Linked DNA regions of Macaca fascicularis. The protein of the gene in region 1 interacts with the protein of each later gene in a pairwise test. Links are inferred from orthologs where the notes say so. Each region holds a gene or a part of one and is shown in the gene's direction. Other genes may lie near its edges.

Region 1 (3,817 bases):
GTTGATGGCATATTTCGGAAGGTAGGCCCAGACTCTCAAGTATTGAATTGTGAGACTTCATTTTATGTTTTTTAAGTTATCCGTTGACTTTTCTTTCCCATTGATTTTCTTTCTGTTTATGCCAGGTGAGATGAGAGGCTTCATACAGTTCTGGCTTGTATGCTCTGTGAGTTTTGTAGGTGAACATTGGGATAGAAGAGGGGAAAATCACTTTTCATGTTTACATATGCATATATCTGGCTTTTCTTCTCTTTGAGTAAATTTGTACATGGCACACAACTGTACTTGGAGCACAGGGAATTTGTACTTTTGTGTGTTGTGGGTAAGGAACAATGATATGTTTAGGGGCTTGTGTCATAGCTCCATCATGCCTGATTATTTCAAGTCTGGGTTTAAACATCTTGAGGCAAGTTTCTCTGCTGGAGTAGTTGGTCTGTAGTAAACTGGACTAGTAGAATGAACAAGCCTAGATTATTTTATTTCCACCACCAGTCTCCCAGAGGCTGCTTTCAGCCACAACGCATATGAGCAACATGCAGCCCTTCTGCTTGTGAAGTTCTTAGCATAGATACTTTTAAAATGACTTATTAAGGTCAATCTCTAATAACTGGAAGTAGATACCAGAATTGACTACTTAAAATTGACCCAAGTTTAATAGAGTGGCTACCTGCATAATTTTAACATGTTAAACAACTTAATAGTGTTCATTGAAGCTTATTTTTAATTTGACTATGTTTCATTTTATGGTAGACCAAGGTACATAGCTTTATAGAGTGCTTTCAGTTTTTTACTGTTGCTGTTAAGGTTAAAATGCAAGAGTAAACAAGGAAGAAGGAATAAAAGTTTTAATTTTAGTTTTTCTTATAAAACAGTATACATTTACTGAACAAAATTGGGAAAGTGCTGGAAAGTATAACTAAAAAAACAAATTCTGCAGTCCTGAAATTCATATTTGTATTAGTTGAGATATTGATATGTATAACATTGTACTATGCCCTTTTCACTTTGCATTACAACCAAACATTGTCCTATGGCAAAGAAAGGAATATTAAAACAATTTATTAAATGTGGATTATAAAAGTATTGAGCAAAACCCACCACTGTTGACTGTAGTAATGTGAGGTAGAGTTGTCTTTATGTCCAGTAACAGTGTTTGTGCTAACTTCTGAATATACTTTTAGTGCAAAAAATACCTCTTCACAAATTGAAGGAGAATTTGAGAAAGATTGAGATGCCATCTTCTTTTGCTCAATTTGGACCTATCCTTTCTTCATCCTACTCTCAGTATCTGATTTCTGTTGTCTAAGTAGGAGGGGTTTTACTTGCAGCAGACTGAGTTCTTGTAACCTTACGTTGAAAGTTAAGGAAGCTGAGGCATCAGCAAGGAAGGGAAAGATGTTTGTGGTGGAGAATGAGAAGCCCTTAATTGTAGGGTATTTTTTTATTATTTCTGATAGTTACATAATCCATTGGATTTTTTACTCACTTGAATGTTGGACATTTACTCTCTTTGTGATTATAACACTAACATGAACATTCTGCTTAAAATTCAGAATCTGAATTCTAAATTTTTGTTTTTAGGAAGGATCGAGATCGAGACCGGGATCGTGAAGATCGGTCTAAAGATCGAGACCGAGAACGCGATAGAGGAGATAGAGAGCGGGAGAGGGAGAAAGAAAAGGAGAAGGAGTTGCGAGCTTCAACGAATGCTATGCTTATCAGTGCTGGATTACCACCTTTAAAAGCTTCCCATTCAGCTCATTCAACCCACTCAGCGCATTCAACGCATTCGACACATTCTGCTCATTCAGCGCACGCCGGACATGCAGGTCACACGTCACTTCCACAGTGCATTAATCCGTTCACCAACTTACCCCATACTCCTCGATACTATGATATTCTAAAGAAACGGCTTCAGCTCCCTGTTTGGGAATACAAGGATAGGTTTACAGATATTCTGGTTAGACATCAGTCCTTTGTACTGGTTGGTGAGACTGGGTCTGGTAAAACAACACAGGTGAGTTACTGTATACCATGGTACATATTTTATTTATGTTTAAGTTTAGCAAATGTTGCATATTTGATTCTGGTGGTCATTTCCCTTGTCTGTCATATGGAACATCTTGAAGAATAGCTGCTTTGATGTTTAATTGGCACTCTGAATTTCAGAGTGGAAATCCTATGGAGAGTACCTCTCTCCCCTGAGTCTAGGGGAAAATAGTGGTGCTCGCTTTTCAAATTTTGTTACCTTAAGTATGGCAGAGTGATGCTCTCCCACCCATTTTGACTCTAGGACAGTACAGATTTAGGGATACACAGTTTATTTTCTGGTGCTTGGGTGGAGAAATCAACCACTGGGGTAGATTTTTGTCGTTTGTATTTAATATAGTATCTTGAGCCATGCAAATATCTATTTTTCGAAAAAATGAAGTGCTAAAAGGATATAAAGTCTATACTCGTGACTTTTGTCCATCTAGTCATCCCCCCCATAGAACTAAACACTGTTACTAGTGTCTTATTTGTAATATATCTAGGATATTTTTTAAACACGGATGGGCTATTATTAACTAGACCCCTGTTGATAGACATTTAGGCTGTTTCCCATGGTGGTTTTGCATGGGCAAGTGTTTCTGTAGGAATCAAATTGCTGGGTCAGAAGATCATTTGTAATTGTGATACAGAAAGCTGGATAGCCTTCCAGAGGGAGTGTATTAATTTACTTTTCCATGAGCATGTATGAGAACATACGTGGGAAACTATTAAAACGTATCATTGAACTTGAATTTTTACAAATCCAATAGGTGAAAAATTGCATTCTAGTGTACTTTTTAATTTGCATTTTCTTGCTGTGGGTGAGAAGTAACTCTTTATACATTTAAGCCTGAACCATTAATTAAAAATTTCTTTCGGTTTCAAAAGTAGTTGTCCCTGATCATTGTAGAAAATTTGAAAAAATCAGAAAAGTATTAAAGCTAATTTAATAATTACCTGCCTTACCATGCAGAGATTGAACATACTGCATACACAATTTATCTTTTTCTAAAGTTACATGTGCATAGACATTTTGAAGGTACTGTAGCAACAAAAATAGGAAGCTTTTATTACAGACTGAGCCTTCGTACCATTTTTCTCTTCTCTTCTCTTCTCTTCTCTTCTCTTCTCTTCTCTTCTCTTCTCTTTTCTTTTCTTTTCTTTTCTTTTCTTTTGTATTGTTGTGGTTGAGACAGAGTCTCTTTCACCCATGCTGGAGTGCAGTGGTATGAACGCAGCCTCAACCTCCTGGGCTGAAGGGATCCTCCTGCCTCAGCTTCCCAAGTAGCTGAGATCACAGGCATATGCCACTAGTGCCTGGCTAAGTTTTAAATAAAATTTTTGTAGAGTTGAGGTTTTGAACTCCTAAGCTCAAGCAATCCTCCTGCCTTAGCCTTCCCAATTTTTCTTTTTTAATGAAAGAAAACTTAGAATTGATGTTAGGGTGTTCAAAAATCACCTTACGGAAATGTAAAGAATTTTCAAATTACATGGAAGACTGTAACTCTGAACTTACTATTTAATTGACATTTGGGTAAAGCCAGACACTGTATACTTTACGTGTATTAGCTTATTTACATTTTTCTATAATCCTGCAGGGAAGATATTCATCACCACTTTACGGATGAGCAAAATGAGGTTTAGGTTTATGAGAAACTTAGGTTTAGCGAATTGTCCTGGGTTGGGTTGTGGATTTTGGTGGGCTCAACGTTTAAAACTTTGTACCTTTGTCTTTATATCTAAAGTTATATTTCATACCTGCTATTCTGTGGTCTGATATAGGTAG
Region 2 (4,335 bases), on another chromosome or scaffold:
AAGTGCTGGGATTACAGGCGTGAGCCACCACGCCCGGCCTGTGTTTTTAGTAGAGACCGGGTTTAGCCATGTTGGCCAGGCTGGTCTCAAACTCCTGAGCTCAACTGATCCACCTGCCTCGGCCTCCTAGTGCTCGGATTACAGGCATGAGCCACCACACCCGGCCCCTCCTTTTTATTTATTTATTAATTATTGTTATTTTGAGACTGAGTCTTGCTCTGTCAGCCAGGCTGGAGTGCAGTGGCACGATCTTGGCTTACTGCAACCTCCGCCTCCCCGGTTCAAACGATTCTCCTGCCTCAGCCTCCCTGGTAGCTGGAAATACAGGCACACGCCACCACGCCCAGCTAATTTTTGTATTTTTAGTAGAGACGCGGTTTCACCATATTGATCAGGCTGTCTTGAGCTCCTGAGGTCGGGATCCACCCTCCTCGGCCTCCCAAAGTGCTGGGATTACAGGCTTGAGCCACCTCGCCCGGCCTCCTTTTTTTTTTTTTTTTTTTTTTTTTTTTGAGACACAGTCTTGCTCTGTGGCCCAGGCTGGAGTGCAGTGGCGCTATCTCGGCTCACTGCAAGCTCCGCCTCCCGGGTTCACGCCATTCTCCTGCCTCAGCCTCCCCAGGAGCTGGGACTACAGGCGCCCGCCACCGCGCCCGGCTAATTTTTTGTATTTTTACTAGAGACGGGGTTTCACCGAGTTAGCCAGAATGGTCTCGATCTCCTGACCTTGTGATCGCCCACCTCGGCCTCCCAAAGTGCTGGGATTACAGACGTGAGCCACTGCGGCCGGCACCAGCCTCCTTTTTATTTTTCAGCGACAGTTTCTCACATTGACCCCAGGCTGGAGTGCGGTGACGAGAGCACGGTTCACTGCAGCCTCGACTTCCTGGGCCCAAGCGAACCTCTCACCTCAGTTCCTGAGTAGCTGGGATTAGAGGCCCACGCCACCACGCTCAGCTAATTTTATTTTTTGTAGAGATAGGGTCTCACTGTGTTGTCCAGGCTGGTCTCGAACTCCTGGCCTCAAGCGATCCTCCTGCCTCGGCCTCCCAAAATGCTGGATCGTGGTTGAGCCACCACGCCACCCACGGTCTCCTTTTAATGTAAAACATTAAACAATGTTTTACACCGTGCCAGTGAAAGCAAACTGTACTCTCTATGGCGCTAGTAGCAAAAGCAAAGAATTATTACCATGCCTAATAGAGAGGAGCCCTAAAAACAAATCCAGGTCTGCAAAAGCCGATCGACAACTCTGTGGTGATTTAGAAGAGAATTGCAAGAAACACAGAGCGTCCCAAGTGACAAGGATGGTCTGGCGACCACATTTCCCGGCAGCCCTCGCGCAGCCAGGCCGCCTAGAGGATTGGACTCATCCGCAGGAGGCGGGTGACAAAGGGAGGGGATAGGCGTGAGGTACTGTGGGTAGGAGACGGCCGTCGGCGGAGGCGCCATTTTGTGGAGCAGCCGAATCTTGTTGGAGGTTCGGGGACGCAGAACCGCTACTGCTGCTTCGGTCTCTCCTTGGGGTAAGTGCGGTGGCTGTCTAACGACGGTAGGTTCTTGCCATTGGGGCTGGCCCCCAGGCCTCCCTTGTCAGCTGCCGGAGGCGATTGATCAGCTCCAGCCGGTTCTCTAGAGGGGCTAAATTACCCCAGGCGTTGGAGGGCCGCGCCCTTCCTTGTTGCCAGCTCTGTCAGTTTCCAGAGGTCGTCCAGCCAGCTCAGCCTCTGGCCTGCTTCTCTCTGGCTGTGACTTTGCCCCTTGTGGGTACACGTCCCCTAATCTCCAGCCCAGCGGAGCAGTGGAGCCGTCGCCTGTCCCTCTGGCCCTCCTCGGGAGCGCCCTGGCAGTCTCTGGCCGCCATCCCCCCTTAACTGCAACTGAATCGCCCTCTCCGAAAAGCTGTTCGGTGATGGCCGATCTCCGGGTTAGGAACCTCTTGGGAGGCGGGAGGGGTGTGTGCGGGGAGGGCAGGCCGGACGCTGGAGTCGGTCGAGCAGGCCGTGACGCCGCCATCTCTGCCGCGAGACCCCACGGAGGTGGGTGCCGGCACCGCCCGGGAGAGAAGGGGCAGCACCAGTGAATATGCCTCGGGACTTGTTTCCCCCCAGTGGTTCTTTTTCATTTATTAATTTCAACAAATCATTGAGCATACGCTCTATATTAGGCTCCAGAGACTACTGGAACTGATTTCTCGGACCTCGCGCTCATCGAACGCGGTCCAGCTGTGTGATGTCTCATTACCAACGGGGAGCAGGTGGGCCGGGCTCTTCGCCACTCAGTGGTTTGTAGTCATAAGAACTGACTCAAGACGTGGTGGTTATTGTTACCTAGGAATTAGGTCGTTTCTAGCTTTGCTCTTGTCTTATGCGATATGTTATTAATGTAGTAGATTTCAGTCAGCTCAGTATCCCAGCTTCTACGAGGTTTTAAATTTTTCATCAGAAATGTTTGAATTTCATGTTGCTCTTTGTATTAAATGAAGACACTTGGATTAATGTTTTAACGGTCAACTATCCCACTAGAGTTGCTTTGATACAAAACCAAAGGAGCTCATTGCAGTTCTGCCCTTTTTGCTTTGTAATTCTAAGGTAGGAGCAGGGAAGGAGTCTTCTGCTTGCTCCATATTATGATTCTGTTGTTAAATCTGGAATCTAATATTTTAAAGTATTCTTAATCTTCCGGTTTTGCTCATGGTTAACAAAATATTAGCATGATTTTAACGTTGACAGTTTGTCCCCACCACCTCCCTACCTTAGATAATCGCTGTCAGTGATTTGAAGGTTTGATGAACTCCCAGCCTCAGTAGTATCCAAGCTTATGGAGCTGCTCACTTAAGTGATCTCTGAGATTTACAGCAATTACTCTCTCTTGTCTCCTAGAAAAAATAAAATTTGAACCTTTTGGAGCTGTGTGCTAGATCTTCAGTGGGACAATGGGTTCAGACAAAAGGTAAGTTACTATAGTACATGACTTTGAACTCAACATTTCAGTGGGGACTGAACTCTTTGTTTAAAATAGTTTATCAAACTAATATGTGAGCGTTTCGTGCCGGGCATTGCTGATGAACACCTTTATGGTCCTGTTGTCACAAACTAACAGTCTAGTGAGAGAAAGTACTGTGTGAACATGCTGTGATAAAGTATAGGGTGCTCTTATAACACATAGGAAGTATGTCTTTTTCTTGATCACAGCCAGGAAAGCTTCCTGGAGAAAGTATTCTCTGGAAGGAAGCTGAAGGATAAGAAATAATTTTAGGCAAAGAAGGGCAGGGTAGAATGGGTCCCTGAGGGTTCCCTGTGTGGACAGCAACCTTTGCAGAATCCAGGAGATCATACAGTCTGGCACTTAGCACAGTTCCTGGCTGTGGTAAGCAATCAATGAATGCCAGTTCTCGTTATTGTTCCCTAAATAGCAAGATGATCCAGACTTAGAGAGCTGAGAAGCTTGGGACCGTGTGTTACATGAAAGAAAGAGCCAAAGAATTAGTGGAAAATTAAGATGAGAGCATTTGGCTATTGGGTACACACTCTCAGACCATTTGATTTAAACACACAACCTTACTCAGCCATCTGCCTTTTTAGTATTGAGGTCAGTCCCTGTGGTAGATCACATTGACAGGCCCGAGGGACCTTAGGAAATGTTCATGTCACATGGTGTTTTAATGCTATGTCAGCAGTCTGTGGTTCTAAATAGCTTATTAAATTAACATTTACCCCTTTGGGGTGTCTCAGTCCCATATTTCCCTTGATTCTTTTTATTAAATTTGTATAAATGAAGCCCTTATAAACCTTTCCTTTGCCACAGTTTTATGAATCTGGTAAAACAATTTACAAAAGACCTATTTTATCTGTGGTCAAATAGGTTTAAGCCCCTTATTATTAGGTTTTCTCATGAAGCCCAGTGCTGCCCTTCAACCAAAAATAAACCAGATGTTATAAGAAGAGTGTTCTCTTAAGGGGTGCTAGTTTTGGGTAACTATCCAGTTATATCTGACAGACAACTAAGTTGCCTGATGGGGAAAAAAAAGACTAACTTAGTTCATCCAGGTTTTTGGTCCATTTTCTAGTAGATATGATACTCTTGAGAGTAGATGAGCCAGGGATGTACTTAATTTCACCCTTTAAAATTGGGTGAAATTCAAGTAACTGCTTTTTTCCTGTTTTTGGTCTGAATCAGGGATGAAGGGATAATATGTAGACTCTAGGCTTGACAAAGTGCAAAAATAAACTTGGATAACATGACCCTTTCTTAGAAATATTCAACCCAAATGTTTGTTTCAAATTTAGCATAAATTCCTGACAATTATCATTACATTTAGTGATATAGGTATTT

The links.
Region 2: the proteins of DHX15 (region 1) and RBM5 interact in binary tests that used the Homo sapiens proteins (3 or more experiments, as listed by UniProt). The link is inferred for Macaca fascicularis from reciprocal best matches to the Homo sapiens genes DHX15 and RBM5.

The regions. Positions count from the first base shown.
Region 1 is NC_088379.1:23,690,769-23,694,585, reverse strand, and holds part of DHX15 (ATP-dependent RNA helicase DHX15), read left to right. Parts: intron 1-1,581; coding exon 1,582-2,017; intron 2,018-3,817.
Region 2 is NC_088376.1:113,111,512-113,115,846, forward strand, and holds the start of RBM5 (RNA-binding protein 5), read left to right. Parts: upstream 1-1,418; 5' UTR 1,419-1,526; intron 1,527-2,882; 5' UTR 2,883-2,935; coding exon 2,936-2,952; intron 2,953-4,335. UniProt on the Homo sapiens protein: Component of the spliceosome A complex. Binds to ssRNA containing the consensus sequence 5'-AGGUAA-3'. Regulates alternative splicing of a number of mRNAs.